Linked DNA regions of Astyanax mexicanus. The protein of the gene in region 1 purifies or fractionates together with the protein of each later gene. This does not show direct contact. Links are inferred from orthologs where the notes say so. Each region holds a gene or a part of one and is shown in the gene's direction. Other genes may lie near its edges.

What was found.
Region 2: the proteins of g6pd (region 1) and hars fractionate together in Homo sapiens (co-fractionation; 3 studies listed by BioGRID). This does not show direct contact. The link is inferred for Astyanax mexicanus from reciprocal best matches to the Homo sapiens genes G6PD and HARS1.

What each region holds. Positions count from the first base shown.
Region 1 is NC_064420.1:16,496,272-16,513,149, reverse strand, and holds the start of g6pd (glucose-6-phosphate 1-dehydrogenase), read left to right. Parts: upstream 1-8,783; 5' UTR 8,784-8,887; coding exon 8,888-8,972; intron 8,973-9,527; exon of another isoform or gene 9,528-9,542; coding exon of another isoform or gene 9,543-9,573; intron 9,574-11,020; coding exon 11,021-11,142; intron 11,143-16,878. Other genes in the region: polypeptide N-acetylgalactosaminyltransferase 6, read left to right, coding at 815-985, 1,377-1,490. UniProt on the Homo sapiens protein: Catalyzes the rate-limiting step of the oxidative pentose-phosphate pathway, which represents a route for the dissimilation of carbohydrates besides glycolysis.
Region 2 is NC_064409.1:70,905,136-70,922,787, forward strand, and holds the start of hars (histidine--tRNA ligase), read left to right. Parts: upstream 1-11,213; 5' UTR 11,214-11,260; coding exon of another isoform or gene 11,261-11,350; intron 11,351-13,089; 5' UTR 13,090-13,376; coding exon 13,377-13,487; intron 13,488-15,148; coding exon 15,149-15,238; intron 15,239-15,331; coding exon 15,332-15,451; intron 15,452-16,547; coding exon 16,548-16,643; intron 16,644-17,381; coding exon 17,382-17,507; intron 17,508-17,652. Other genes in the region: trappc11 (trafficking protein particle complex subunit 11), read right to left, coding at 312-445, 579-675, 782-855, 1,662-1,761, 1,936-2,050, 2,145-2,215, 6,111-6,280, 6,370-6,573. UniProt on the Homo sapiens protein: Catalyzes the ATP-dependent ligation of histidine to the 3'-end of its cognate tRNA, via the formation of an aminoacyl-adenylate intermediate (His-AMP). Plays a role in axon guidance.

The sequences.
Region 1 (16,878 bases):
GCCTAAGCAATTTTGAAACTGCTAACATTTTGGTGCCAGATGCCTTCACAGGTCTTGTGAAATTCATGTTTTGAAACCTGAGATCTGTCTTAGTGTCTTTAAAATATTAATATATTGAAGTATTGCAATAGTGTTTAGATTTGCAAAAACACTGTATTGATGTTTTACGAATAGTTTACATGAAAAGATTGGTGTCAGTGGTTAATTTACTGTGGTGTAATTTACTGCAGTGTTGTACTCTGTCTTCAAAGCACACTGTTCTGATTGCTTATAAAGTGTAACTTTTCTTAACTCAGATGTAATGATTAATAGTAAGTAGCAAACAATAATCCTGTTTTTCTAAAATTAGATTAGTATATGCCTTGCTTGCAATATCACAATATTTTTCCATTAAAAGACTCAGTTATACTCAGCAACTCAGCACATTACAATATTCTAATTTAAAAAGCAGTAAAACTACACTGAGATATTATATTACAGTACTGTTCCCTACTTAAAAATACAGTTAAGAACCAGCATTTAAAAAAGTAATCATGGTTTTATTCATGATAAAATATTGTTGTGATTTACCCAATTATTTATTTAATTTAAGGTATTGTCACCAATAAAACAAATCTAATTGTTTGCAACAGTGGACAGGAAGAAAATGTGTGATTAATCATATTTAATTTATTTAATTGGTTGCCACCACTAGTATTTTTTACAAAAAGATATATATGATACCTGTAGGATAGTAGGAGAGGTAATTTTATGTACAGTAAAAAATTGTCCAGATCTGTTAAATACTTAAATTTCCACCCCTCTAATTCTACAGCATTTTGAATACACAAGTCGTCAGGAGCTGCGTCACAACACTGCGCTGCAGCTGTGTCTGCATGCAACGATTGCACCGGAGCCTGTCCGCATTGAGCTGTGCAACTACAGGGGTGGCAGCACTGTGCCAGCGCCACAGCAGCAGTGGAGCTTAAAGCTCCTCTCACCACAGGTACAGTAGATACAGCAACCAACTATTTCATTAAACCCACATCATTTCTATCCAGCCAACAATACCCAAATAGGGTTGACTGGCTCTGTGGTGGTCCTGTTTGGTCCAAACCATTAAATATCAGGGTGAATGTAGGATAGTAATAAAATATACAAAGAAACAGATACAGGACTACAGTCTGTAATTACAGAACTACAAAGTGCTCCTATAGGATCAATGAAGTGGATAAGATCTACAGAAAGTCCAAAAAACAAAGAGGTGGTTTAATTGGTTATTTTTGTGTTTGGTTGTGCCTGGTGTAGACAGTGTTAAATCATTTGAGATTGAGATTGAGATTTTTAAGTTTTCAGTATTAAATTTGACCACTTCACGTGTCCTTGTCTGTTTCCAGTGTTGTCTCCTGGAGTGTGAGGTGTTTAAGAAATGTCTAACAGTAGAGGGTGGTAAAGCTGTGATGAAGAACTGCAATCCTGCTGACAAATACCAACACTGGACATTCAGCTGACCAGTATCGGAGTCTGGTTCTGAGTTTGTTAAAATGAGAAATTATGTTAATGGATTGATTTTGTAATGAGCTACGATTTGTGCTGTCCTGTGGATTTGTTGTGATCATCCTGTTTACTGCTGTATGTCTAGTTCAAAGATAAAGTTATTTTTTGCAAAACAGTGTGCATAAATTGTGCATTTTTTTTAAACATTTGGGCAAGTTTGTGTAAGCCAACAAACAAATGAAATTGAAAACATGCCCATGTGTGTTTGCTTTGTGGGGATTTGAGGAAAGTCCTGCTATAGGCATATGGCAAACTGTTTAATCACTGAGTTTGTTTACATGTACTTCATAATCCCATTACTACAGAACGTTACTGCAGAGTTTGTCGGTAATCTGATCAACGTTTTTACATGGACTTGGGTAAACAGATAATGGGAAAACTCAAGAGTGTACAGGTCCTGTGGGGTCCTGACTATTGAAGAACTGGGTATAGGGAAGAGAAGGTGTAAAGATCCTAATGATGCAGCATAGCTCTTTTAAGTTAGTTCTTTATTAGGCTTATTGCAAATGTATTGCACTTAAATGTAATGTAATGTAATGTAAACACAGTGAATGAAGCTATGAAGCCAATTACGCTTACCTCATGGGGACCCAGGGAGGTGAATGAAATAGCTACTAACACTTTCCATGGTAGATTAGACAAACATTTCACACCTTACCTGAACCTACATTATTAATACATGGAATACCAGTAAAAAAAAAAAAAAAAAACACTCAGCCTTTACAATTATAGCCCAAGGCATCTGTGAGCTCATGTATCGGAATCGAGTCGTAATGCATCAACAGCAGTTGGAAAAGAGGTGGTGGCTGAATTCACATGTATCGGAGGAGGCATGTGCTAGTTTGGTATTGGGGTTCCAGGAAGGTTAAGTTTATAGAAATAACATTACAGTAACATTCTGAAAATGTATTATAGTATTAACAATAAGTTGTTTATCACATAACGTTGCCAGACAGATGAGTGCTAACATTACGGAAACGGTGGAAGTAACATGCCCTACCATGCCCAAAACTAAAAGTAATGTTGCAGCAATGTTACCAGAACATATATATTTTTTTTAATAAAAACGTTTGAAGAACATTCAGAACCCTTGCCAGATTAAACCGTCTACTAACATAAAGTTGTTAGCTGGGCTTATTAAATAATAAGATAAATGCAGTATTGCGAATATGAACAGATTTGGAAGGGTTGGTTTGCATATAAACACTAATTGTAAACCCAGATTTATATTTATTTTGTGACAAAACGTATTAAAAATGGCCCTCCATAAGAATATTTGTTGTTTTAGCAGAGGTGCCAATTATAGGTCCAGAAAGTAGAAATCCACTCCAGGATTGTGGCTCTGCTGCAAACCTGTTCTGCACCAGGCAGGTGAAACACAATCCTGGGGTGGATTTTTACGTTCTGGATCTGGATTTTCCACTATTGCCTTGAGTACCTCCTAAAGTTACACTGTGTGCTACAATATTTACTTTATCCAGCAGGAGACGACAGGAGTTGAACAGCAATACCAGGATAGCAAAGAACATTGAATTATGCAAAAACGTATTTATTTAAATAATAATGCGGATTTTATTTCTTCATTTCAGTAGAACTTGGCACAGTGCCAACACTACCCAAAGTACCAGCTGGTCTTATATAATATTCTTATTTTCTGAGAGACTAATTTTAAACGATCAAATAAATAAACGCTTAAAATTTATCACTCTGTGTGTAATTTATCTATATAATAGATTTCCACATTTTGAACTGAATTACTGAAATAAAGTAACTTTTCAATGATATTTAATTTTTTTTAGATGCAGCTGTACATGTTTAATGTAAAGTTTATTACAGAGCACACATATGAAATATATGAAGCCATGAATTAATGTTCAATAAACTAAAATCAATCTTTCAAACTTTTTTAATCTGACGATTTAACCCTTTCAGACCCTGCATCCATTACACTCGACATCATGTATTTTCTTTATTTTAAAATGTTTGTTGCACATAACACTATTTAAGAGCTGTTGTTCATCAGAAAATACAATGAACCAGCCAATGAACGAGTTTATAAACTAATAAAACATTAACAAAAACAGTTGTACTTGAGCCATTGAGGCAAAGTAACAGCTGATTTTTACTAAAATAATGTGATTTAGAATACTTTTTAATAATGTTTTTAACTGTTTAGGAATAATTTATGAATAATTATTAATAATTATTTTTTTCCATCACTGGAGATAATTCAGGTCTGAAAGGGCTGTAACGTTGTTGTTTTTAGCATTACAGAGATTAAAAAATAAGAACGTTGATTTAACGTGCTGGGTGTGTTGGCTTGACCTGTCAGTCCTGATCCTGATCCTGGTGCCTGGTGTCTGATTGGCTCGCAGCGCCTGCTGTTGACTGGTAGCCCCGCCCACCGCTCCGCCTGTAAGAGTGTAGTAAGCGTGTCGTCACGGAGCAGAGCCGGGATGGGAAGTGGAGCGAGTGCTGGTGAGTTTCTGTCTAAACCAATAATATCGCGCAGTTCCGCGGAGTCACGACGGGACCGGTGAACGAGGAAGCGCTCGGGTACTAATGTGCGGCTAGCTCTCTCTCACTGACACAGCTCTCCGCCCTCCGCTGCGCTGTTTTACCCTCCCGCCGCGATTCTCCGCCGCGTTTCTCCGTGTTTACCGGGAGCAGATAGATGTGAGTAGCTGTGTGATGGTGCTGTGTGCAGATTACCGTTATTAACTACACCGCCTGCAGCTCTAACTTCACGGTAAACCGACAAATAACTGCTGATTTAACCCAAAGTTACCGGTAAACTGCTGCTCGCTCGGTTAGCTAACATTAGGTTAACTAGTTAGATTAACTGTAACGTTACACGTTTAACAGGTAATTTATATTCTACAGACACAGGATTTTAACTCTGTAACTCGTAACTAGCTAACCTAACTAATTAACTAACTAAGCTAGCTAACCAACTAAAGCTAGTTAACCTAACTGTTAACTAGGTTTGGTTACCTGCACCGTGTTTACACCAGTGCAAATAAACCGAATTAGCTGCAGTAATATCGGTTAACGTTATTTCAGGTGTAGCTTTAACTCTAGCTTTTTAAACTCGTTCACTGAGGGGCACTTGCTCCATAGCAAAAACACTATTAACCCTTTCAGACCTGATTTATCTCCAGTGATGGATACAAATGTTAGAATTCTCTTTTCGGTCTGTAATGCACAGAAAATGAAACTCTCATATTCTATTATAAAATATTTATAGCAAATAATATATAATATATATATATATATATATATATATATATATATATATATATATATATATATATATATATATTTATTTATTTCCATCGCATTGGAAGCCAATGTTTAACATTTTCATATTTCATTTTGACCTTTTGTTCCACAAATAATCCCTAAACAATAAAAGAACATGATTAAAAAGTGTTCTGAATCACAATAAATTAGAAACAGTTAGCTGTTCCTTTGCCTCAATAGCTCTAGTGCTACTGTTTTTTTTCTGGTTAATGGTCTATTCTGATGAACAACAGCTGTCAAGTAGTGTTGTGTGCAACAAAACATAAATACATAATGTTAATTTTAATGGATGCAGGTTTTGATAGGGTTAATCTAAAATAACTTAGTTTACCAGTCGTAACTCAGTGTTTTTAGCAGTAAAATGACATACATCTAAATTACATACTGGACAATCTATCTCTGCACTTTCACACACATACTCTATAGATTATTTGCACATGTAGGGTTATCTGGGATTGTAATATCTATATATTCACTTATATTTTACCTTACATCTACACTGCAGTACCATATGTCTACAGTGTTATAAGTTATTGTGTATATTGTTTAAGTTAATTGTATACTTTCTATTTTATTATACTTATTCTTCTCAGCTTTGTTGTAAATATTGTTCTCTGTATTCTGTGGGAATCTGCACCCAGGTTTTTCACTCACCTGTACACCTGTACTCTGATTTGATTTGATATCTGTAATGTAGTTTAATCTACTATAAATTATTTTATATATCAGCTACTTCATATTTACTAGTAAAACATTCTGACTAAGCATACTATTCTACTGTCGATTTACATGCAATTTCACTCTGTTGTCAATAAATGACATTTTTCAATAAACAAAATCTAGTTACAGAAATCTGCTATTTCCCCTAGTAATAAAGTTATTATATATTTTGATATGTCCACAAAAATTAGCCTGTCACAACAATAAAAAAAACAAATTGACTTATTGTACTATATATTAGCATAATACTTTTTTTATAACCTAAACTAATCATTGTTCTTTCTGAGCAAGAAAAGCCCATTAATGTTTTATATGTGTAAAATATTTTAACATTACTATATTCTAACTCCTAAATATTAAAATGAATCTTAAATTATAGTTTTAAATGATAGTTTATAGTCCAAAAACTGGTGACAGTTATGACATGCTTATCTCCACAGTAATTCTCACCAGGTCCACATATCATTTGACAAATACATTAATATTCTCCAATGTAGTTTTAGCTAAAGGGTTTAGCTGGTCTTATTTATAATGTTGTTGTGTCTGTCCCTGTTTTGCACCGCCACCGAAGAGCCCAGCAAAGTGTCTGGAGGGCAGCCGGGTAGGCCTGTGTATGTGTGTGCGGTAGATAGGGCTGGGGCGGTATTGATTTTTTATAACCGCGGTAAAAAACTAACGCATCACCGCGATATTGCGGTTAACCGCGAGACCACAACCCCCCCCCCCCCCCCCCCAAAAAAAAAAAAAAAAACACCGCAAATTTATTGGTAACAAATCTTTATTCTTCAAACCATACAGCCTACATACAACTTCTACATAAACCATAAATACAGCATAACAAGTGAACATATGCTGCCTGTATAATTCGTCATTGTACAGCTAACCTGTCTTTTTCCGTGCAGACTTTTTGAAGGAGGAGCTTGTCCGCCTCCCCCTTCTCCATCCATAGATCTATTTTAGGGCTGGCCCGAATAGCGGTTTTGAGCTCAGGATATTCGGCAGTAATTGGTAGCGAATATTCTAATATTCGTTTAAAAAAAAAAGACGAATTAATCCACAGCAAAATTTTCCACTGACCCCCGGCCCCGAAAAAAATATATTTCTCACCCCTTTCCTCGGGCCGTTCGGGCTCAAGGCTCAAGAAGTCTGTGATAGGCGTCTGTTTTTTTTTTATTCACACTCTTCTTATTTCTCATTAAATATCTACTAGATACAGATTATATCTGTACAGTATCATTTATTTCACTTCCCTCCTGAATATTTGGAGTGCATTATGTCTCCTTATGTTGTGATGTTATGTAGTTTTCACCCCAGAATTTCTGCTGCCTCACACCAGGCTTCGGCTGCATCGCAGGGCAGGAGCGCAGCTGCGTTACGGCTATTTCGTTTGAATTGTGCAGTGCAGAGTATTACAGATTTTGTATTTTTGCACTTGGGCTATTAGCTCAATATTAAATATTTCGTTTGTTTATAAATTATTTTATATTCTTAAACCATGTTAAATTATATTCGATTGGAGGAAATTAATTCAGACATCATTTCTTTTTTGTCCCGTTACCGTTCCGCAAAAAAAATCCTTCTTTTAATCCCGCATCAGCCCGCCACATACACAGTTTTGCCGCACCTGCCCCGCGGTCCTAAATAAATTTAATACATTACATTTAGTGCTTAAAATTAAAAAAAATATTTATTAAAACCGCGCGCGGTCACGTTTCTTACCACATTACAAAAAAAAAATCGGTGTGTGTGTGCGCGTGTCGGTCCATTCTCCGCTCCTTTTTTGTGCTTAGGGTTTTTTTTGTTGCGTGCATGAGAATCACTGCGTGATTATTACAATTTTCTTAACTATTTATTAATGTGCTCCCACATCCTCTGGATTGATTAAACTCCTGTTCCCGCCAATAACAATTCAGTTCTGTCTGTGCCGCAAGATATCCTGACGGGACCCGCGTCATATAATATGTTGATTAAAATGTCGTGACGTTAAGAAATCGGCTCGCAAGAGACAACCGACCAAAAAAAAGACATTAGTTCCATTTTAAAATAATAGAAACCTGTCCTTTATGTTTGACAATTTTTGTTTCACTTTACGTGTCCTTACTCATCTGAAGTTTATTTATCTGAACTGAGTTTCATATGGTTATATTTGTAGCGGTTCTGAACTCAGTTCCGCGTGCTGTGAAAGAGACAAGGCGCAGCGCATTTTACCTCAGACTTGGTCAGATAACAACATTTCAGTAAAGATGGTGGTTATAGTTTTATATCATTGCTTTGCTGTTTGAACTACACTTCAACCAACCTTACTATTTTTACCAAGACTGAGGCGCAATGCCGCGCGTTCTCCGCGGTGCTCACGCAGAACAGCCAGCAGCCAGACAATGAATTAATATATTTTACTTTCTCAAAATGTGACCACGGAACACCTTACATGGCTCTATGGTTTACCTTGAGGTGGGTGAATTAGTTTGATGTGTTGGCGAGAGGTGCAGACACCACTTTCCGGCAAATCTTGCAGATGATTCTCTTCTGTTCTGAGTCTTTTTCTTCCTTTTTTCTCAACTTACTGAGCCTGCCCTGTAGCTTCCATTTCCGAGCCAATATTAGTGCTGCTAATCTTCACTCTCTTCAGCAGCCTCAATGGAGACGAAGTGAGCAGGACCTCAATGAGTACCACGCACCGCGTTTTGCTTAACCCATTCGCTGCCGCGCCAGTGCAGCGGCAGCACAGATAAATGACAAAAAAATTTATATTCGATATTATGAATTTTGAGATCGTTTGACACCAATATCTATCGCGATCAAAATATATTTGATATATTGCACAGCCCTATAGTGTAGGACTTACACTTGACATATTAATACTGAATTCACCACAGTTGTGCTTATATGGAGCATTTTACTACCGCTCAAAACGCAGTCAATCAGATTTGACAGCCATAAAAAAATGCGGTAATGACGGTAATGAGCTCATCACCGCGGTGACGTCCCATAACCGCGGTATTGCGGTAATAAAATTATCGTCACAGCCCTAGCGGTAGATGCTCAGGTACAGCTAGACTGGTGTGTAGTAAAGTGTGTGTGATAGAACTGAGTGGTAAATCGAATTCCTTTGATTAATCAATTTATTGTTTTAATGCAAGTTTTAAAAAGGGGTAATCGAGATGCATATAAAAGCTGCCTAAGGGAATTTCAGTATATATATGAATTTATTTAGACTAAAACGGCTTATAATATATACTGGCTAATAACACAGGAGTAATGATATGTTGTAGAAGTATTAGCTAAGGGGTTTAGTTGGGTTAATAACTGTAGAGAAGATGGGAGGAGGATGGGCTTTTTTATAATGTTGTTGTGTCTGTCCCTGTTTTGCACTGCCACCGAAGAGCCCAGCAAAGTGTCTGGAGGGCAGCTGGGTAGGCCTGTGTTTGTGTGTGAGGTAGATGCACAGGTACAGCTAGACTGGTGTGTAGTAAAGTGTGTGTAATAGCGCTGGGTGGTAAATTGAATTAATTTGATTAATCCATTTATTGTTTTAATGCAAGTTTTTAAAAAGGGGTAATTGAGATGTTTATAGAAGCTGTCTGAGGGAATCTCAGTATATAGGCTTGTGTCTATCAGAAACCTGTAAAGAACTCTTCTATGTGGAAGTGATTTTTGCTATTATTAAAAAATAGCTAAATTAATTTTTTGTATTGATATTGGTTTCATACAAGTGTTGTAATGCTTGCACACTTGTGACTCCCCTGAACAAAAAAAAATACATTAATATTAATAGAAATTATACATGTGGCATGTATAAAAATGTAAAAAAAATAAAATAATAAAACTTATTATTAAGTTATTTTCAGCTGGAAAAAAAAAATAAAATATATATATATATATATATATATATATATATATATATTATATAAATATCGCCCAGCCCTATAGCATGTTTGTGCATGTGTTAGTAGCAATATAATACTGTATTTTGCTTTTGGCAGATGCATAAGTCTTTTGAAGGAGATAGGAGGGGTAAGGAACTAAACAGCTGAGATTAAGGAATATTTACCGCTATCTCTTTGCTGTGTTTCGTTCGTCTTTCCTTTTTTTTTATATTGGTACCTGAATACTGTATTCTTGCGCATGCTACTAGTTATCTTCATACTAATGATTTGATTTTTTTTTTATAGAATTTTAGATTTTCTCACTCTTATTGCCAATCAGCGCCTCTCTTTCTGGGAAGTGGGCTTTGGTGGTCTCTTCATTCTACAGATTCAAGCATGCAGATGTTCCTCATGAGTCGTTTTGCTTTATTTTCCTAAGCTTTGCTATGTAAAGTCGAAGAGTAAATAATCCACTCCTATATTTCACCGTCACATAAGTCTGGAATTAAACCTTTAAAAAATAAACACATTCAAGGGAAGTTTTGTTGTGAGAGCAGTACATAAATTTAGCTTGTTAGCTGCTGTGTGAGCTTGCTACCATGTATATTATTATAATACTATTATCTGATTATTTGGAGTATGCTGTGTATTCCAGTATACACAGCATACTCCATTTTCATAGATTGGATTAAGATCTAAACATCTGAATAAGCTGATTAAGGTAGCTGGGTTTTAGCTCAGTAATCAGAGTTTTGGTGCTTCTAAACTCTTAAGTGGAGTATTCTTGAATTTCGTGCATATGTGAAAACAGACAGTGGTTCCAAAAATAAGCGAGCAGTGTTTAACACAACACCTGTAAGATGATGTCCAAATACTTTTGGAGAGATACTGAATCTTTTAGCTGATTCATGTTCATATTGCAGCTTTTGTGTGATGTTTACATCACGTCTATTATGCGAGTTTATTGGCTGGTTGCAAAGCAAAAATCTGATTATTGCCTCACTTAAGTGAACTCTGAGTTGCCTCATTATCTGATTACCCAACTGTAAGTAAATACATTGATTTGGTTACTCTGTTCAGTAATTATCATATTATGAAGTTAATGCAAATGAACTTAAACTGGACGCAATATTTTGTTGATTTGGGATATATATTGTGATAATATGAGTGCTCGTCAGCACACATTGTGATAACCGATATATTACGCATTTAAATCGCAGCTAACTGGGATGTCAAAATGTTAGATCTTTAATAAATGTTTTTAAGATAGTTTTGTCAGTGCTTTTTCGTTGAAAATCGGGACAAAAATACTTTTAGGCTATTCATCTCATCTGTGGTGAAACAAAAGTTGCAAATTGAATGAAAACCTCTGAAAAATTTGTTAAGTATCCTGTGTTTGGCCTTCAGACAAACTGTTAATTTTGTTTGGTTTTGGGTTTGGCAAACTCTTGACTTTAGTGCATGACTAGTTTTGGTTCATATTTAATGAAAGTGGTAAAAGAAGCTGTGCATGTAGGCAAGTTGCCGTGTAAAAAGAAGTAAAAGTAAAAGAAGTTAGAAAGGTGAGAAAAAGCTAACTCTTTTATTTGTTACAGAGAAGATGAGCGCCCTCCCGCTCTCTCGTTCGGAGGTGTTCGGGGAGCTGCGAAAAGAGCTGTATGAGGATGTGGAGTTTCATCACTCCGACGTGCACATCTTCATCATCATGGGGGCCTCGGTGAGTGAGAATTTGTAATGGGGGGATGATGGTGTTAGTGTACCTATAAAGGATTGAATCTTAATCGCCTGGTTTTCCAACATAAGATCTATTATTATTGCTTAAGATGTGCTTCTCTTTTAATCTTTGCAAACGGAAGATGTTGTTTAGTTTGTTTCTAAACTTGGCCTAATTTGGCTACAAGGAGTTCTGGCCCAAAATCTAAAACTTATTTATACTGGGTCTCATTCATCAATCGCTGCCTTTCATTTTTTTTGTACATAAGTTATTCAAAAGGTGACGTGTTTATGAAATGTAGGATTGTTCTGCTCTAATAATGATCATTTCACTGTCCTCATAAACCGAACGATTCCCAAACACTGTAGGTCTGTTACAGTAATCACATTATCAGCTTATAGAACAATATATGGACATAACTTCAGTCATTTTTGCTGACTGCAGTATTACCCACTGTGCAAGTATGCAGTTGTGAGGACATTTATTTATGTATAAGTATCATTATATCAACACCTTAATTAAGTTGCTTTAAAATGACAATTATATCAGTTATACGATTATTAGTCAGACACTGTATAGTCCGGTATTGGCCTACCCAAATAAGAAGACATTGGGGAATGTCAAAATTAAAAAAATATATATATATATATTAGTGCTGGGCGATAAAACGATATCGATAGTTATCGAGGAAACTATATATCGCGATAAGTCGGGGCGAGAAATTCGATAAACTAAATTTTCTATTTCCCGTTTAAGTAGCGTTGTGAAAAGGCGCAGCACGAGATCAGGCAGCACGCTGAACTGCTGCTCAGCCCAGTACAACCCCTCCCCTCCCCTCTCCACCATCCCCCTCCGCCCCACCCCCCGAGCCCCTCCACTCTGAACTCCTCACATAGCGGCTCCTTCTCTCCCATTTACTGGATAAACTTCATTTATACTATTCAGCGGCGCTACACTGGAAAACTCACCTTTTAAATATGAGGCATGCGTCTCCAAGATATTTAGAGAGGTGAGCTTGTTCAGATTTCTGAAGGCAGGTAAACGCTGCTCTGTTTGCTGCTAGTTAGATTAGCTTGTCTCCAGTTTAAAGTTAGCGATGTTTAGGTGTAAAAGGGATCTGTGCAATCTGTCATCATTAGCTAAGATGCTTTCACTGCTTTTTACATTCTAATAAACTAATGGGTAACGCACGTTAGCCGTGTTAATCCACGTTTCGTGTAAATTAAGGTTAACTTCAGCACGAGTGAGGGGTTAGTATATAAACACACAGAAAGGAAGCACTTTCCATCTTTTTTCCTAACTCTCACTGTTTCTGTTAGAAAACCCTGAGGGCAGCATTCTCCTCTGTCTTTGTGTTTTATAGTTTTTAACAGATAGAGAGTCTGTTATGCTGGATATTTTACTAAATACAGAAGATTATATAATCTGTCTAGCTGTATTTGAACTGAGCTAAACATTGCTGTTACTGAACTGGAGTTTTAAATACACTTAAGTAATGTAAGTCTAGTCTACTGAAAGCCAGTAATGTTAGTATAAATCTGTACTGCAGTAGAAGTGGATCATTTCAGAAACTTGACTTTATTCCTCCCACCTCCATTATAGGCCACTTTTTTTTTTAAATATTTAAATGTTAGCTTAATTTAAATGAAAAAAAAAACTAAAGGCTCTTATTTAAAAAAAAACATAAGCAGTAAATTATCTAAAATTACAACAAATAGAAAATAGAAAAACAGTAAAACATATGTAATACATACTTTTTATATGACCAAAATTAAACTAGACTGAAATCTGACTAAAACTAATAATATCCGATAGACTAAAATGTAACTAAAACTATTATACATTTTAGTGAAAAGACTAAGACTGTATCAAAATCACCTGTCAAAATGAACACTGTGATATACTCTTGTATTTTGCTTTATGTAGTTGCCTGCATTCAGGGAGGGGAATGATCTTTTGATTAAATATAATTTTATAAAAATAAATAAAGTGTTATTGCAATTTAAATTAAACAGACATATAATGTAAAGGGTCTTACATATTTTTTAGTTTATATATTTGTCCCCTTTTTAAAATTAATTTAAAAGCTGTACCCACCTGGCAAGATGTTAACATCCTAGTGTCTGTCCACAAGGCTCTGAGCCTGCTAGTGATTTTGTCCATAACTCCCTTATTCTGTCACTTCTGAGTAAAAATAGAAACCTTTAAGTGTAACAGAAAGTGATTTGATTTATATCGTGATACATATCGATATCGGCTGATATGAAAAACTATATCGTAATAAGATTTTTTTCCATATCGCCCAGCCCTAATATATATTTAAACTGTGAATAAACAGATTTTTCTGTTCACCTGAAAAAGTAAAAGGGCTAATTTATTAGACTAATTATGTTTTATTGCAGAATATCAGAGCACTGCTGTTTGAAATTGCTGAGGAGCATTTGTAGTTATTAGAATAGCACTACTGAGGTAAATTCATTTAGGCTATGTAATGTATTCAGTGGTGGAAGAAAATTCAAATTTAACGTAAACCTGCAAAAAAAAACTATTCTGTATTTGTTCTTGATCCAAATGTTTAATTGTTTTCTGTTTCAGATTTAGCTAAAAGGTTTCCTATTTGTGCATCTGTTTTTTTTTAATAGTTGGTGAATAAGGCCCATTGATTCTTCCAGTTTTACAGTTTCATCCATTGTTATATTATCATGTCATATCTCTCAGCTCTGAGGCTGTGGGTGCTTTGTCTCTGAGGAGGAAGTTAAGGTGTAGTTTTGCAATCGAGGAAAGGAAAGTGGACTGCAGAATGAGGAAACAGAGCAGGGTTGAGTAATATAGTAAATCAGTCCAGTGCTGCTTAAGTCCGTTTCAGGGCCCTGAATATTGATCAGTCAGATACAGTTACGGCAGACCACAGATTGGCCAACTGTTATGAAATTTCTGAGTGGTTAGACTTAGGAGGAAGTAGGCCTAAAACTGGGAACTAACTAGAAAAGAGGTTTATAGAAGTCCATTACAAATGGAAATAACCTTCCTAATTGTGTTTAGTATAAAAGAGGTGGAAGGACGGGCCTTGGGGTGGGGGTGGTATTTAAGGATTGTACAGGCAGTGGCTTTTTGTAAGCTGTGACACAAAGCCTAGGCTGGTGTTGAGGTAGGGGACAGGTCCTCAGTAGGACTGCTGGTCACACATATGGAACAGTCTAACAAGGCTCTCCACACTGGTTGCTTAGTTTTCCATCATTTTGGCCAATTGTCCTTGTGCTAGTGTATTTTTACATACACAAATATTTGTAGGTAACCGAGAGATGAGAAGGATACATCAAATTACTCTGAACCTCGGTTGGATTTCTCTGCTGTAAATAAAGTCCTTCAGTTAGCAACCTAGACATTTTTTTAAAGCACAATATTTTTAACTCAGCAGTGCTTTTCTAATAACATGTTTACCTCAGCAGTGCTATTCTTATCATTTATATATTTCAGCAGTGCCATTCTAGTCACATTTAGCTAGCTAGATATAAGTGGCAAGTGGTGCCATTCTAATCACAAATCCGTGCACAAAACAGTGCACAATTAGTTGTAAACTTACCTCAGCAGTGCGACTCAAGTTACATGTACATTACCAGTTAGTACAAGTACAAGTTTGGACACAAACTTCTCATTCAGTGTGTTTTTTGTTTTCTTTTTATGATTTGCTACATTGTAAATTTAATATTAAAGACATTAAACATTTTGTTAAACAGTGTTAAACAAACCAGAATATGTTTTAGAATTTAGATTCTTTTAAGTAGACATATTTAGCTTTGATGGCAGATCTTCACACTCTTGTTATTTTCTCAGAGGTTTCGTGAAGTAGAGTCACCTGGAATAGTTCCTGGAGGTGCTGAACAATAGTTAGCTTCTTTTCGGTTATGCAGTTGTCTAGCTTATCCCAAACCCCCCCCCTCCTTCAAATCACCAACTCTAGCCCTGTACAGCTCGTAACTTTAAGCTGGAAAACTGTTTGTGGAGAAGATGTAAACTAATAGTGAGCATGATCAGTGATTCTAAACGCTTTAATTAGTTTAATCGGTGTGAGTACTTGCTGTATTTGTAATTTTCTGCCAAATATTTTAAAATTAATAAATGCATGCCTAGTATAGAGCAGTTTTTTTTTCCAGATAGTATAGTACCGAACCTATTGGTGATAGTTCTGGTTAAGTGCTGCTGTTTGACCTTTTGTTTTAACTGTTCAGATTATAGTGCAAATGAACAAAAATCAGCTGGTTTTGCAGTTCTTCTGTTACATTGTTTTTCTTTTTTTAAACAAACCAGTAAATTCTCTGCTTGCCTTAACTATAACAACATGTAGCATCAGGAAATAAGGGTGTAGCAGATACACAGTGGCCTCCTCCCTCTGTGTTTACACTGCTTTTTTCCCCCTTCAGTAGAGCATTGGTAGAGTGAACAGATTGTGCGGTATCATTCCCAGTCAGCACTTTTCTTTCAACAGGCTGGAGTGTAGAGGGAGAGAGGGGTGGAGGGAGGGAGGAGGTCATGGCTAGGTAACTGTAGCACTGCTGGCATTAGCTTTGGCACTGTGCTGAGACCTGTAGGACTGAATTAAGCAAGAGTTTCAGCTTGTCTATCTTCCCCTCTCCATCTGTTCACTGAAACAGTCCCACAACTAGGAACTGGACTAAGAATGCACCACATTTGGCAACCAAAATTATTTAGTTGAAAAGTAAAAAAAAAAAAATTGAATAATTTATACAGAACTCATTTATTTTGAGTGTCTATAATATTAGATTACAGGAAGTGAGTGAGGGAGACAGCTGGCAGACATCAGACACCAAGTGTAAGTTAATTTGTTTTCATCTGTAGGTGCATGAATTAAACAAAATAAAGCATGTTTACTACCTTTACAAACAATGGCTGTTTTTTAGCTGAAATGTACAAGCTGCACAGCCTGAAATAGTAATGTTTGCTTAAATAAATTAGACTTAGCATTTGTTTCTGTACCAAAAGTCTGTCTGCCTTTATCTGTGTATATTTTACTCAAATATGGCTTGAGTAGCACTGCTGAGGTAAATTCGTGATTAGAATAGCACTGCTGAGGTAAATTTATGATTAGAATAGCACTGCTAAGGTAAGTATAAAATTAGAATAGCACTGCTGAGGTAAATTTGAGATTAGAATAGCACTGCTGAGGTAAATTCATGATAAGAATAGCACTGCTAAGGTTAATTCACGATTATAAAAGCACTGCTGAGGTAAAGTCATGTTTGGAACAGCACTGCCAAGGTAAATATGTAATTAGAAAAGCACTGCTGATGTAAATATATGAATAGAATAGCACTGCTGAGGTAAATAAATAATTAAAAAAGCACTGCGGAGGTAAATTCATGACCAGAATAGCACTGCTGAGGTAAATATATAATTAGAATAGCACTGCTGAGCTAAGTACATAGTTAGATTTGCATTGCTGATGTAATTTGTTTTTCTTTGACAAACAAGACCAAATAAAAATAGGATATTTAATTGATTTAATGGTGGAAAATGTGGAACGATGAAAAACAAACTGTGAAAAAACATTCTTTGGTGTTCTACCTTTGTTAAAAATGCTGCCTGTTTTGGTCAAAATGTTATCTTGAGTACATGAATGTTTCTGCATACCTAACTGGCTCACCCTGTTGTAGTTCCAGGAATTACAGCTGTATTGTGTTCAGGCTCAGTTTGCTTTAGTTAAGGGGAGGGCTTAAGGTG
Region 2 (17,652 bases), on another chromosome or scaffold:
GAGAAGAGTGTTTATTACACAATTAAACACTGAGGTTCCAACAATTTACTTAAATAATAATTTATAAATATAAATATATATTTTTAAACCTATAAATGTATATATGTATGTATATTTAAGTTATAATACTCAACTTGTGTATCTGCCTAAAGTTTGTATTGAGCAATAAGGGTGAATTTGGCTAGACAAGCGTAGAATAGAAAAACAAAAGGGGCCACATACTGACCCCCCTTGAGTTTACAAAGATACTGAAAAATTAAATAAATAAATAAAAATGTAAATATATAAAAATGAGAAAACGTGTCTCCTACTGTTTTGACATCCAGGCGGTGTGCTCAAAGGCCAGCTCAGCACTCCCAATCTTCTTCTTGCACAGATCGATGTGCTTCCTGAACTGAGCGATGGCATCCAGAGGGGTGTTGTGCTGGAAGCAGAGCCTACAGATCTGAAAGAGGTGCACAGAGAGAGGCTCTGAGAGTGAGTCAGGTTTTTAAACAGGAAATAAGACCTTCCTGTGTGCTGCGTGGACCTATAATAACCACACCAATGCATGAAACATCACACACACACACACACACCTTGTAGTTGATGAAGCCAGCCAAAGTCTTGATCTCCAGCATGTTGGTCTCATGGGCTCTGAGCTCATGAACAAGACTGTAGGCGGTTCTGTAGTGTCTGTAGGGAAGGATTTATGTAGGTACAAACAAAAGTATATATTTTTAGCATGCTGTTAACCAGAAATCAATTTTATTAAGAAAAGAAAGGCTCAAAAAAAACATACTTGAGGGCATTCTGCGTGTCCTGCTTCAGCTCACTGAAGAAACCGGTTTTAAACTGGTGCCTCACAAACAGCAGCTAAAACATAAGGAGTCACAAAAAACTTCAATTATTAAAAGTTTATTGGAAAGTATTCAGCTGAAAATTACAAATAATAAGCCCTTTCAATGTTTGGCAAAACAGGTGAAATTAACAAATAATTTATATTTCAACAAAGGCGACTTAATTTTAACTCTATATCTGCACTGAGGGAGAGAGCCAAAAAAACCGACAGGTTTAAGTTCATTTTTACACTAAACTTATATAAATGAAACAAAATAAGTGTCCAGCATCCCTCAGTATCAAGCTTGATATCAGTCTACAACCTTCACAAACTTGCTAAAACATATGAGCTGTACAGGGCTAGGATAGTAACAATAGCTGAACAAAGTTAAGCTTAGCATTTTTTGTTTTTTAAAAGACTGGATGCCTTTACCTGTGTCAGTTTCACCCAAGTATGACTTGAAGAACACTATTGAGCTATATTAACGATTAGAATAGCAATACTGATTCAAGCAGCACTACTGAAGTAAATGAATGCTAAAATTGTCCTGCTGAGGTAAACAAATTGTGCCTTATTAAGCTGGGATCCTAAAAAGGTTAAGGGTTAAATAAATATCCTGAAATAGTGTTCTTGTAATAGCTTTTTCTTTAAAAGACAAATGCATTTAGTAAAATATACCTGTGATACTGGATGATAATATTGACCAACAATATACATAGTATTAACAATGTTTCCCCTCATTCCTAGCTCAACCCAATGATGTTCCACTTTTAGATTTAGCTGTACAAAAGGAAAATACAAAATGAGCTTGTAATTCAAACTGGTTGCCACACATTATTACCTGATGAGTCGTTTTATTCAGGAACTCTTTGTGCGATTTCACTCTCCTTATCTCATTATAGTAATATGTTTGAGCATGCTCATAAAACGCATTCTCCAACCTACAGAAACAGTAACAAAATAGTAAAAAAAACAAAAACAAAAAAAAACATCTAAAACCAATTTTCAACTTTCAACAGACAAATTCAATATCACCTACTGTTCAGATGCACAATTGAATAGAATTAATCAAGAAATAGAATTTAAGGGAGATTGGCAGTGACTCAGACTCTGACCTGATGATGTATCCTACTAGGTGGTCCGTATGGGGGAGGACAAACAGGGATTTTCCAGAGAGATCGCAGGCATTACACAGAGCCGCAGCCCTCTCTGATGCCACCACATCCTCTCCTGCCAGTGCATAAATCCAACATAACATACGCTCTCATTAAAGTAATTAAAGTAAAACCACTTACTAAACAGTAACAGAGGGATTTAAACATACCTGGAGGAAGAGGAGTCTTCTTCTGGATTAGAACAACTGCAACCTTAGTGTTCCTCCCCTGCAGACTTGTTCTATACCAAACACAAGAAGGCCAATATTACATAGTAAAATTAACTCAGAAATTAAGGCTAATGTATAATCATTTTACATACAAACATAAATGTGTGTGCTTTAAACGTTGTAACCAGTGGCTTTTATTGCAGACAAATACACTGAGCATCTTTTACACTGGTAGAAATATTAGGAAATACATCCACTAGAGGGCATATCTTAGTCAAAAGTTTCAGAAACCAAAACATATGGTGATGGAGGTTGTAATACTGTACTACACAAAAAAAGAGAAACACAAAAGAGGCAGTGGTTTAAACAGCTATAAATGGCTGTGTCTAATAGTTCCAACATTAGCTTATGAAATGAATGAAATGAATCATCATGTCCATAACACAGTGGCCATGTTTTGCTCGACCTATGGCTTTGTTCTATCCACATCCATAAGCTTTCAAAGAATGTGTACAAAGATGGACAAAATGAATGCAGAGTATAGACAAAAGGCTGTATTTGCTATTCTGTGTTTAGTGATGAGTGTAAATGAGCCATAAGGCTACCAGGCTCTACTATGCACTACATATGTCTTGAGCAGATGTTTACACAATGTCTCCCGCTAGCTATGTCGCTCACTGTTACACCATGCAGTCAAGCTGAAAGTGTGACAGTTAGCATGTAGTTCCTCATTTTATTTGAAAACATGCATTGGCATCTGACGCAACAGGCCACCCAACTCCTGGTACAAGCTGTGGTAATCTCACACCTCGACTACTGCAATGCCGTACTAACTGGCCTCCCGGCCTGTGTAGTAAAACCACTACAGATGATTCAGAATGCAGCAGCACGTTTGGTCTTCAACCAACCAAAACGGGCACATGTCACTCCGCTGCTCATTGAGCTCCACTGGCTACCGGTTGCTGCTCGCATCAAATTCAAAGTGCTTACAATCGCCTACAGGGTGATGACAGTACAGGCTCCTTCCTACCTGCACTCACTCCTGAAGGCTTACGCTACCTTCCGGCCGCTGCGCTCCTCCAATGAACGTCGCCTCGCTTTGCCAAACACTCACACAAAGCAATCCAGACTGTTCTCATACAGAGTTCCCCAATGGTGGAACAAACTACCTTCCACTACCAGATCAGGAGAATCTCTCACTATCTTTAATAAACTCCTGAAGACAGAGCTCTTCAAAGAGCACTTACTCTCCTAACACCTCTAACTAACTACCTTCTACTACCAGATCAGGAGCGTCCCTCGCTATCTTTAATAAACTCCTGAAGACAGAGATCTTCAAAGAGCACTTACTCTCCTAACACCTCTAACAAACTAACTAATTCTAACCTCATCTCCTTCTTCCTCTTCTCTACTCCTCTATCCCATTATTTCCCTCTGACCTCCTTAAGGCCCTATCTATAGATGCTTTATTTTTAACTTCTATTATTTTTGTACTTAACCTCTTCTATTATTTGCACTTCAATATTGTAAGTCGCTTTGGACAAAAGCGTCTGCCAAATGTAATGTAATGTAATGTAATGTAATGCATCAAAGCTCAACAAGCTTGGAGGAGAATGCTAAATGCCAATCCATTCATACAACAGGGCCTGCACTGAATCATGTGGGCTATTCTAAGTAGATAAAAGAGGATACTGTATACAAGTGAATTATGCTGCCACTATGGCTGTGCAATATTTTGTAACTATTGAAATATTTAACTATTTTACACTAGATACTCAGTATACCAACTGGGTGCCATTTAAATCCTATAAAAGATGCGTAGGGATCATTTGTGTCGTAATGGTTTGGTTTCTGAAAAGATGACACTCAACAGAGTTTGTAGAAGCATCAATTCTTATTAACTAACTTCAATTCACCTCAAACAACATCCAGAGCAGTTTACTTAGACACTGAACTACCATCAAGAGTGTATCTTGAATCTAATAATACACAAGAGGGAGTGCTATAACGTGTAACATTGGCACTGCTGTGCCGCAGACTGAGTGCCGTAGATCAGCACAGCATTGCCAATATGAAACTTTTTAGCACGAACCTCGAGTTTATTTTGTGATTATGTCACTAGGGTTGCAGCGGTAACCGGTTTCACGGTATACCATGGTATTAAAATGCACGGTTATCATACCGTGTGTGTTTGCTTATTACCGGTAAAACGCAAGCCAGCGGAGAAACTCACCCGCGCATGCGCAACTCTGCTCCGCTTCAGCTGCTCAGCACACAGCGGTGAGAACAGCAGAAAGTGCATCAGACTAAACAAATCTCCGTCCGCCTAAAAAAAGGCTAAACTAAAATCAGCAGTGTGGGACTATTTCAGAGACCCGCCGAACGCACCCGAGGATGGTTATCCGATTTGTAATCAATGTGGCCGTAAAGTCACAGCTAAAGGTGGACATACGTCAAACCTGTTCTCCCATGTCCATGAACACCACCCCGCCGTGCAGCGCAAAGTATGTGTTTAGTTTATAATTTTAATCTGAACATAAATAAAACCTCTTTGTAGTCGTGCACAACCCATGCGATAAGCGCCCGCAAAAGCGCTGAGTTATCCGAAATTTGGGCACCCAGGTACAGGCGTGAAGTGCGTGCTACGATGGATTCACGTGTCCGTGTAAAGGTCCTGGCCGGACTGGATGTGAAAGACGCCATTCATTTACATGCGTTAATTTTCAAATTCTGACGTGCCTGTTTTTCATGTGTTAAAACCAGACTCTGTGTGAAAGCCTTAAAATAGAAATATCTATTGTGAGGATCATGTCAGAAATAAATCCCCTCTTTCTGCAGTATCTGGTTATATACCAACTTGGCAGTAAAACGGACGTTTACAACAGTTGTTGATCAGACACTGACCCAGGCTCAGTTTATCAAATATTAAATAATTTAAATTTAAATAATTGTACTGAATATTTTAAATACAGGATCTTTTATATACACCCTTAATGCCCTTAAGAGTAGTGGAAAAACCTGGTTTCCTTCACCTAATGGTGTACAGTTTATTTTTTTTAAGGAGACATTATCTATATAGTTGTTCCAGGTTTCTACAATAAATAGTTAATTGAACAAAAAACCTTTGTTGTAATTTCTTTAAGGGTCAGTTTAATAATATATGTAACAAACTGTGATACCGTGATAACCGTGATACCGCGGTATTTTCTGAGACGGTTATCATACCGTGAAAATCTCATACCGTTGCAACCCTATATGTCACAGTTCCATTATCACTGTTTATTGAAAGTTAAAGTTTGAGTTAAAGAGGACGAGAAAATACAATCTTGGTTTTATACATTTATAAAACCAAGATTGTACTAATACAAATTTGGTTAAAAAAAATTAAGTGAGATAAAATGGTTCCATTGCTGCTCTGTTTGTAGCAGCGCTCTTTGGCTTGTAGGCGCTGCATCATTGCTAGGTTACCTGTATGTGGCGGAGTAATACATGGAGAATTTCGATTACAGCACATTACCGGCTGATAACGGCACTAACAGAACACCTTTCAGCCAATCAAATTGCAGTGTTGGATCTAAACGTGGTATAATAAACAATGTATATTACTTAAATACACAATTAGATATTAACTGATTATTTTTGTTGTTACAATTACTAAATTAACATTTTTAATGTTTTTTTTTTTATCATCCCATATTGTATTAAGTATATTGCCATTCCTCTTAACCATATCAAGACATGAGTTTTTTATTCATATTGACTAGCCCTGACTAGGTCATATTAACTGCCACATATCTAATTAAGTATATATAATATTTTAGTGTTTACTGTTTCCCCCCACACACCTGATCCAGCTGATTAGCTAATTAACAAGCCCTTTCCTGAGCTAAGGTGATACATAATGTATTTCATGTTTGGCATGAAGCTGGATTTCTAAAAACAAAATCAAATAAGATTAATATCTACCTGACAATTTCCACTTTAGTGGCACACTCCGACTGCTTCTCCTTCCACTGAGCATCGTCCCAGTCAAGCTCATAGAACAGCACCACCAGAGAAGGCACCAGGTTCAGGTGTTTATTCATCCAGCCTGTCTTCAGGATGCCTTTAGGAATGTACCACTCGTAGGAGGTCCTCTGGAAGAACATGAACAGCACTGTCATGAAAGCAAAAGATAGATGAACTTAAAAAATAAGCACACGGTGGAATAAGTATCCACTCTTACCTTAGTTCTACACTTCGGGTACTCGTGGTCACCTGGCAGGACTTTAAAGGAAATGGGCACCCTGTCTGCCCTCCTGTTTGCACAGAAAGCGTCCCATATGGCTCTGTGCACTGCGTTATACACCACATCCAGACCGGTCAGAGCCACGAAGGCCATTGGCCTGCAGCACAGCTCTGGGGGGAGATCCCACTGCGTCGGACTCATCTTACCAAGAACTGGCCGTTCAAGAGGGGAACTAAAAAAAAACTAATAATGCAATAAAGAATTAATGACAGAATATTTATTTATAATTATTAACTAATAATTATTTTACTTATGATGCTGCTACTGAATAAACGTCATGGAAAAGATGTTAATCTGTTTCAGAAGGGTCAAATTATTGGCATGCCTCAAGCAGAGAAAACATATAATGCCGACCTTACACCTAACGATTTTCAAGCGATTTTACTGTCGAAGATTTCCAAATATTAAGAGTCAGGATAAAATCACGAGTCTTGCTAGAGTCGAGTTGCATTAGCGTCATCTCAATCTTTCAGTGTTAGGTGGTTAGGACTAAAAGTTTTAGTAAGTCAGATTCGCGTCCTGAAGCTCTAATAAAATCAACCCTGTTCATTATTACAGTAAGTTTTGAGACTTTGCTTACGCAAATAATGACTCGAACAATGTCAACAACCAATAGGAGAGCCATGGGAAGCCGCAATGCAAGAATATTTTACGGGTTGAAGTTAATATGTACAGTTTTTTAAGCACAGGTAGCACTTTAATGTCATCATATTGAAAGTTATTATATTTTGCACTACTTTGATCTATTGTGCAGTACAATTTTTGATACAAACACGTTCAATAAATACACATTCTGCAAGACTGGTGTTTTTTATTGCATTACTTCTATCTAAAAGAAAGGCAAATGTATAGCAATGAAACTGTGATTCTTTGCTATACAAGGTTGTAGCAAAAAAAAAGGGGGGGATAATAATAAAAAAAAGCTTATAGAACGAGTGAAAAACAAAATGTATTCTATTAAAAAATATCAAGAATTAACATTGCGACAGAAAAATAAACTGATGATATAAAATATGTATTGTATGTAAACTCCACCATAAGCATGATGGAAAATAATCTCAGAAAGAATCTATTAGTTGCGGTCTTGCAGTTAGTGATCCCCAGTCTTAGCAAAGTTTTAGCAAGTGAGTAAAATACTATGACTAGTCTTTAGATGTAAGAGGGTGTCAAGACTTTAGTCTGTTACAGTCTTTTCAGAGTCTTTTTAAAGTTGTGCAGTGTATGGACAGTATAAGGAGATTGCTGACACTACTAAAATCTGGTTAATATCTGTCCAATGCATTAATAAAATGTGGAAGGACAGTGGGGAAACATCATCTTCTAGGAAGAAATGCTGTAGGAAAAACGTTCTGAATGAAAATAAATGTTTGGTGAAATCAAATTGTAGAAAAATAAAACTAGAACTCAGGATATGTTTAATAGTGAAAGTAAGAGCATTTCCACACTCACTGCAAAAGGAACTAAAGGGATTGGGACTCAACAGCTGGGTAGTTTTAAGAACTCCACTAATAAGTGATTAGATGTAGTTACTATTTTTTGTCATGTCAATCCCTGTTTTTCACAAATACTCGGCTACACTAAAATGCACTTTTAAAATAAAATATAGATTGATTAATTGATTGAAAGAGCTAAAAGAGCTTAGCTAGCCACTCAGTAGCTAAGCTAGCTAACTAACTAACTAGCTAACTCACAACATGTACAATAAAACTCTAACAAAACAATAATAAATGACTTGCGTGGATTTTAAGCAGCCAAAGAGACAATAAGAGGTGATTTTCTGCAGGGTCTTCTTTATTATCTCAAATTTCAGAGAGTTTAGCTACAGTAAACAGTAAGAGGGCCCTAGCCTGAGTGCACCGAGCTAGCTTAGCAAGCTAACCAGCCTCCTGTCAGCTGAGCTCACCCTGATACACAAACAGCGTATATACAGCTAATAATATTAACACTATGGCTTTTAACTTAGCAGAATTATTAAACAGAGCCTGCTGAAGACTGATAAACACTACAGAGAGGTTTAAACCCTGTTAAACTGCAGAAACTAGAGCAGTGTCAGCACAGACTAATCAACAGAGGTAGCTAACAGAGGCAGAGTCACACCAGCCTGAGCTAGAGGCAGTGACGAGATAATTAATCAGGTTACCTTTTACTGCTGCAGTCTGTTAAATCCGTCTACATCCACTTCATTTACATTAAACCCTGATTAATATCCGTGTTTATCTCCCAGAGCAGCCGGGCCCACACCCCATGACCCTCCGCCACAGCCACCGGTGTTGTGTCGCGATGTGCTACCTCGTCGAATCGTGCTACCACAATGTGGATCCAGTTAAAGCTGCTGAAATAAAACAGTAAATAGAGCGTTTTAAGCTAAATATAAGCCCTGCTAAATCACTGTATTAGGTGGATAATATAGCTAAAAAAAATAACAGTAATAATAAGTATTTTCATTTAAAAATTCAAATTAACCATTTTTAATCACGCAACTAAACAACATTATGAGCTTAGACTGTAATTATATTGTAGCAAAGAAAAGGAAAAAGACAAAAAGGAAAATCATTATTATATGTAAAAAAAAAAAAGCCTGTGAAAATGTGTATCAGCGCATGCGCAGTGCATGTAAGTAGCACATATCGATGGGTAGAACAATATGACAGAGCACCGGCGTTTCTAGACAGACTACCACTTCCCCATATCCCTGTTATAGCAGTAAACACTGCAACCGCTAGGAGGAGCCCGCGAGAGAGTCCAAAATGAATGGAGGTGAATAAAGCTAAACGGCTAAAACTCTAATTTCAAACAGTTACTAACCTTTTCTCCAGAATTTTATTTTAATTATGTAAATGACAATGATGCATTTCACTAAAAGAGCAAAGATATCCTGCTTATATATTTTAGGTTTTCTTCAGTAAACGGGTTTTAGGCAGTAAAAGTGCTAGCATTACTGCTACTGTATGTATATTGACTGGTTGGTGAGCTGATGCTGGAGATAAAAGGTTTATAGCTGGAGTTTAAAAGCTCAGTGATAAAACATGTAGCTAATATTGTTCTGTTTTAAGAAAATTAGTATGGAGCCCCTAAGGTGATATTATGTTAAAAAAATGCATGGCCACGACTTATTAAGGTGTGGGAATGAGATCCTAAGGTGTGGGTACAAAAAAATTAAGGCATGGGAACGAGATCCTAATGCATGGGAATGAGATAATTAAGGTGTAGGAGATCCTAATGTGTGGAAACAACTTATTAAGGTGTGGGAATGAGTTAATTAAATCGTACCCATCAAGGCTTGGGAACAAGATAATTAATGCGTGACAATGAGATAACTGAGGTGCGACAACGAGATAATTAAGGTATGGCCACGACTTATTAAGGCATGGAAATTAGTTATACCTATATTAGTCGTCCCTATTAATGTGTGGGAATAAGTCATAGCTACATGTTAGGATCTTATTCCCACACCCTAATAAGTCATGGCCGCACATTCAGATCTCATTCCCACACCTTAATAAGTCGTGGTCACAACTTAATTATCTTATTTACTCGCCTTACTTATCTCATTTCCATGCGTTAGGATCACATTCCTGCACTTTAATAAATCATGGCCACACATCATATATATTTTTTACATGATGTCACCTTATGGGCTCTGTAAATTACTCAAATTTTTCACTATACATTTTTTAAACATTAATAAACTCTGATTTCGCTCAATTGAAAAAAATTGCATTAAACTGCATTTATTCATTTAAACAAACTCAGCAGACATTATTAAGCGGGTAATCTACTCTCTATAGAGAGTCTCTGGCTCCGCTTCATCTGCGGCTTTGTGCTGCAGAAAGAGCCAATACCAAATTACTGCACTCTACTGGGCAAACAGGGCAATTACTATCTTATTGTGGACAAACGGGGGCAATTGCTGCCCTCTGATGGATAAACAGGGCAAATTCTGCCCTTATTGTGTAAAAGGAATACAACTTTATAAAATTGATGTTTTATATATTTAAAAAACGTTATAAACACCTTACATGACTGTGGAACATATATCATCACTTATGGAAAAAAACATCATAAAATAGAATAAAATAAAATACAAAACACACAAGGCTTCCACCTTTTTTGATTGAGAAATATATATATTTTTTTTTTAACATAGTATTTTTAACATAAAAAACACCAGCAGATGACATGTCTCTCCCAACCATCACTGATTGGTGGAAACTTCACACCAGACCTCAAGCAGTTTGAACTGTGTGTCTCTCCACTCTTTCTCCAGACTCTGCTCCCTTGATTTCCAAATGAAGTGCAAAATTTACTGATGATCAGTGATGGTTTGGAGAGACATGTCATCTGCTGGTGTTGATCCACTGTGTTTTATTATCAAGTCCAAAGTCAGTGCAGTTTTGTTTTCCCACAAAATCTTCCTGCACTTCATGCTTCCCTCTGCTGACAACTTTTATGGAGATGCGGATTTCATTTTCCAGCAGGACTTGGCACACTGCCCACACTGCAGAAATACCAATTGATCTTATATAATATTCTAATTTCCTGAGACACTGATTTTTGTGTTTTTATTGGCTGTCAGCCATAATCGTCAATAATAAAATAAATAAAGTCTTTAAATAGATCACTCTGTGTGTAGGACATCTATATACAATATAGGTTTCTCATTTTAAACTGAATTACTGAAGTAAATGAACTTTTCAATGATATTCTATTTTTTTTTAGATGCACTAGTATTATACATGAGTATTATGTTAGTGGGTACACGTGGTTTGTGCGTGTGTGACGTTTTTTGTGAGGGACCGGTCCTGCGGGGAGCTGAGAGAGCAGCACCATGGCGGATAAAGCGCAGATTCAAGAAGCCATTAAAGTTCAGGGGGAGGTGGTGAGGAAACTGAAGAGCGATAAAGCGAGTAAAGATCAGGTCAGTGTGAGCGAGCCGCCGCTGCTTAAATACTGCTGTTATTAGAGCTGAATACGGGCCTCGTTTACCTGTGTTTCTACATGTGCTAGTTAATGCTAAGCTAACCTGGTGCCGGTCTCTGTGGCCTTCTGTATCATTAATCAGCATTTTTGTACATGTTCTTTAGCTGACAGCAGATATCATCAGTGCAGCCTCAGTTTTCACATTTAAAGAGGCTGTTTTACTGTTTATAATAGCCTTCTAATGTTAATTTTTCAGATTTGAATCGCCTTTTTGAATTGTCCGTTCCACCTTAAATGCTACAGTTGCCGCCTAGGTTTCCGTTCTTATTGTGTCGCAGGTGCCGCATGTTACCGCTGTAAATTTTAAGGTGGAACGGAACTATTGTAAAAACAATAAGGCATCAGGTTAAGCTTCGTTGCTACACGTGTACAAAAGCAAAGCTAGCACATGTTTTGTTATTGTAATGTAGTTTAAGACTTTATTTATGTACAGTTAAAATATTGATGGTTTACTGGGTCAAGCTGACGCAATATCAGAGCCAGAACTGTCATCAAATCATAGTAGACAAACAAAGCACATATTGTCTTGAGTTAAGTATTATTTAAACACTTATTTACTAGCAACCAGTCAAAAAATGGACACACATTTTCTCTGTTTCTGTTTTCTTTATGTTTATTATCTTAATGTTGTAAATGTAATATTGAAGACTATACTGAAGCTAAATAGCAAGATGCATAATTATTTTTTATACAGAAAGTGTTTTAGAAACATTTTTATTTATTTTTCCAAATAAACCCCAAATACATTATGTATTATACATAAGCACAGGTTGTGATACACTTACAAAAACACATACGAGTACCAACATGAAAAAAAAGAAACACACAATAAGACATTGTAACAAACAGTGATTGGGGCATAGTAAAAAGCCTTCAACTAAAACACTGACACATACACAGCAACATTCTTTGCCTACAATGGCAATAAACTCAACACTTAAAATATAGTTCTTATTTTTGTTTGGCATGATACAATTCTGATATCGATATGAACAGTTTGAAAGCCACAGCCCTTTGTGTAAGTAATCACAAACTGATAGAGCTGGATGATATGTTAAAAAAAATTGTATCACAATATTTAAAGACATTTTCACTATACACCGTATTAATCATATTTTCATCTGCCATGGCAGATACTTATGTTCTGTTATTCAAATGCTTTTCGTAGTACACAGTTCATTGGATTCTTATTTAATTTTTGCTGGACATCATCTAATTTAACGGGAATTTACACACTCAGTGTCAGGATCAATGTTCTTTAAGTACAAGTGATATAATCAATATGCATTTTGTCTGTTCAATACAATAAAATATCAATATATTGTCCAGCTTTACCTAGAATTAAATATATTGACATCGAAGAAGTTTTTTTTTTATCTTATGGAAAGTTGCAGTTTTGGAGATTTTTTTTATAGATCATGTTTTTATCTTTGTCTTTGCACTTGTTCTGCTTCACATTTGGGCCATTTTCATTTAAAGTGTCTTTCTTTAAGTTAAAGTGATTTGAGAGGAGGTGTGTGTGTGTGTGTGTGTGTGTGTGTGTGTATGTGAGTGTGTGGTTATTCTGATAATAATGTCAGAGCAGAAGCTTTAGTGTCCAGTTGATTTTGACTCCATGCTCTCATGTTTTGCTCCCTTCATTGCTTCATGCCTCGCTTGTGGGCCGCGGCCCCCTAGTGATAGGGTTGCTCACCACTTTTCTCCTGTTCTTCCTGCTTGTTGCTGCGGATACTGCCTCCATACCTGGGCTCATCATCTTCATCACCTTCATCGTCTTCATCATCTTCCGCTGAATTGATGTTGGAACTGCTGCTGTGATTTTGCTGTTGGACTGCCGGCTCATTCCCCTGGACTGGGATTGGAATTGGGCCTCTGCTGTGTGCACTGACTTTTTGGGGCCTCCTGATATGTGGACTGTGCTGCTGTGTTCCTGAACTGTGTGCTGTGTGTTTGTGGACTGAAACATGGCTTCTCTGGGGCTGGCATGTGTGCGTCTCTGTGCTGGACTGACTGGACGACATGCTGTACCGTGCCTCCGCTCTCTGCGCTACCTCTCTGGAATGACTGTGTCTCAGGTAAGAAAGAGCTGTTTTTACTGTGCACACTCACACAGCCTGTACTGTGTACTGATAAATGGATCTGGATATAGATTTGGAGTAGTTATGCACATAGTAGTTAAAGTTATAGTAGTTATAGTTATGCACATAAACACAGCTTGTCTATAGATATAAAGGTCAAAGCATTGAGCAGTGGAGCAGACTCTGGAATAAAGGTGCTCCATCAAATACATTTTCAGCCACACTGTATAAACATATATACTGACATTTTAGTTACATAAAACAAAACCATACCATGCTTCAAAAAAAAGAGAGAAAACTTTATTAAATTCAAAGAAAATACTCTTCATAAAAGAAGCTAGCGCTGCCTCCAGCCGATCTGACCTGAGTTTGTCTTCCCTGTTGTAAGATTCTCTTCCTCGGCCTGGTAATGGCGTTCATCCCTGTGGACAAAACAATCTGAAGAGTAACAGCATTAATGGAGAGCACCATCATAATTCCACTATTTACACATTCAGTCTCTGAGTTACAGGTTAATCTACATTTACTCCGTCTAACAGTTAATCTAATACACTTTAAGTAACTCAGATACAGGTTAATCTACAGTTATTACATCTATCTGTTAAACCTTTTGCACTGAGCAACTGCCTGACAATGCTGCACACCAGCAGGGTTTAGCTTAGCATGCTATTTGGGGTTAGCTTAGCACACCAGCTGCATTTAGGTGAACCGGTGAATCAGCTAAACCGGCTAACGGTAGCTTCAGCCGGTCACGTCTTACTTTACTTTTCTTTACAGGTCTTACTTTTGTACAGGCGCAAACAACACTGGAAAACAACTTAAAACAGTGTAAAATGTACTAGTTTCATAAACACATGCAGCAGTAAGTGGAAATACAGAAGTTCTTACATTTGTACAGAAACTCCCCCGCAGTGACGACTCCTGGGTGCCGTCATTCGTGCTTCAGCCCTGCTTAACTGATCACTCCAGTCAGAGGGCGGTGCTCGAAAAAAGGATGGTCTCGCGAGATAAAACGTGAGACCTTAAAACCGTATAACGTATATACTCAGAAAATTGGCTAATTTTAAGAATCCATCTCGGGTTTATATAAATTGATATTGGATGGTTCAAATGAACATTGATTTAAAAGGAAAAATAGATTTTTTTTTTTTTATTTCAAAATTTTCCCATTTTCTCACCAATTTACACGGCCAATTACCCAACCCACTCATTAGGACTCCCCCTATCACTAGTGATGCCCCAACACACCAGGAGGGTGAAGACTAACACATGCTTCCTCCGATACAAGTGAAGCCAGCCACTGCTTCTTTTCGAGCTGGAGGAAAGCACAGCGGCTCGGCTCCGGTACATCAGCTCACAGACGCCCTGTGCTGCAGACATCACCATGGGAGTGATGTGGGGAGAGAGCACCATCTACCCACCCAGCCTCTGAGCGCCGGCAGCTTGATGGCAAGGCTGCATGAGCGGGGGTTCGAACCTGCGACCTCCTGCTCATAGTGGCAGCGCTTTAGACCGCTGGACCACTCGGCGCCCAAAATAGATTTTTTTAAAACACACCCCTAATTACCACCCTTGTTTAGCTGTTACGAGTTTTATAGATTATGTCCTTAACTTCAAATCAGTTCTTATATTGTCTACTGTATATATTAATATTGCAGATTGACGAGGAAGTTGCCAAACTGCTACAGCTGAAGGCACAGCTCGGAGGAGACGATGGCAAACACACATTTGTTCTCAAAACTGCCAAGGTAGGACCATCTGTGATACAAGGTGTTTGTTTATCACCTGTTTTAACATGCTTTATGTTTGTGTGATCTTTCTGATTGTGTGCTCGTGTACAGGGGACCAGAGACTACAACCCTAAACAGATGGCCATCAGAGAGAAGGTCTTCAACACCATCATCAGCTGCTTTAAACGCCATGGTGCTGAAACCATCGACACCCCAGTCTTTGAGCTCAAGGTATCCTCATCTATACACCAGAGCACCAAGTTCATCAAGAGTTTCCTTTTGTCTTTTATTTTGATGCACAGCTATGTAAAAATTCTGATATAATCTGTTATTATGCATCATTTGGACTTTAATTTTTAATAATATATTTACACTGAAATTCATTGTTAAATAATTAATACAGTACATTTTTATTATGCAGTTTTAACTAAAGTGCTCCCAGCAGACCAAAAGTCTGGTATAGTCAGGATTACGGGTGTGAGCATAACAAACGTGTAAAATCATAGTAGTGCACATCTTTGCCTGACACAGACAACATCGTGCATGAACGCCTTCTGCGCCAGTTTGTGTGCATATGTGAAATGCAAATATGTCTTCTATATATGCCACCTACTGGACAGGGTGTAGATTAATTACTGTATTTTTCGCATTGATAGGTGCACTTAAAATCCTTTAATTTTCCCCAAAAAAGTCAGGTGAGCATTATAATCTGTTACCCCCTATGTATGAATTTTACCAGTCAGGAGCAGTAAAGCCACTCTGCTGCATTATAAAGCATTTTTAGTTTAGTCCTCCAGTATTAGCCGTTAAGTGCTAGCTCTTTTGCTGTTCAGAGGTCAGTATATCGGACTGTAGTCTGCGTGTTTACCGTGTTAAAACAAGCTACGTGGGACGAACCACTAGGTAATATCACCCGGGCTTACCAGAGCACTCAGGGTTCCTCAGTGTAGCTCTGTCGCGCGGCATTAGCCACTAACCGTGGCTAGCCTTAGTGGAAATCTGCAAATGTAAGCTTACTGTAAATTAACAGGAGTGCTTTATTTATCCAAATAAACAATTTTTAGGAGAGAAATCTGTGTAAATCTGTTGCTTATTAGTGTTGCACAATACGGCTTATAATCCAGTGCGTCTTGTATATGAAAATAGACCAGAAAATAGCCAATCATTGATAGTGCACCTTATAATAAAAAAAAAAAACGGAACACTGATAATGTCTGTTTTTGTATGAGTATCTATATTTTTAGTAGTGGTGTAAAGCGCTGTAAATAACGTTAGGTTAAAATAAAATTAACCTAACCTAACCTATTCTTTTCTCCCCTATTCATAGGAAACTCTGACGGGGAAGTATGGCGAGGACTCCAAACTCATCTATGATCTCAAGGACCAGGGAGGAGAGCTGCTATCTTTAAGATACGACTTAACTGTATCCTCTATATGTTACAGAGAGTGTACTATTGGTGGAAAAAAATATATGCAATATACTTAATATCATGTATTAGTTACATTATACTTCATACTAAACACTGGAGAATCTATTAAATGGGTATAGCAGTGCTCTCTGCTCACAATTCAATTCACGATCCTGGATTCATAATTTTTCAGATTTTCTCACATTATATTTCTTAAGTGTATAAACAGTGCACCTTGTTTAAATGCTCCTTGTACTGTTCTAAGTGTAAATTAATCACTTGTTTATTTAGGCAATCTAGAGTGAAACTATCATTGTCTAAGCAGTCAGATAGAAAGGAAATATAATTCATTACTCTACTTAAATTCCATTTTACTTTGATTTGCATTTAAAATCAAAATCTTATTTATCAGTCCACTAAATTATTGGAAATCTTTTCCAATTTTCCAGTTCCTTTTGGCCTGTGAGGGCTGTGTGGAGGATCTGTCGTGACTCTTGGCCAATGAGAGTCAAAGCCAGACACATCCTCTACCTTTGCTTACACCCATTGGTTCTTTGGACTGCATTAGCATGGTTATGATCTTTGCTGTTAAACAGAATATAAAATTGTATCTCATTTTTTTCATCACAATGCAACATGTTGTGATGCTTTGTTACACCTCTAGTAACTATAGCTTTTTTTTATATTTGATCATGATTTTGTTTCTACTCGATGCTGCTGCTGTTCTGCTTCCTTATCTTCTCCCCGCTCAGGTGCCCTTCGCCCGTTACCTGGCCATGAACAAAATCACAAACATCAAGCGCTACCACATCGCTAAAGTGTACCGCAGAGACAACCCTGCCATGACTCGGGGCCGCTACAGGGAGTTTTACCAGTGTGTGAGTACCGTGACGTTATAGATACACTAACACACGTTGTCTGACGTGTTTATATCGCAGGTTTTTAATTTCAGTTCTGTCACATGTTCATGTATGTGTCAGTCTGTGATTGGCCTGAGCTCCCAGCAGAGCAGAACCGTGTCAG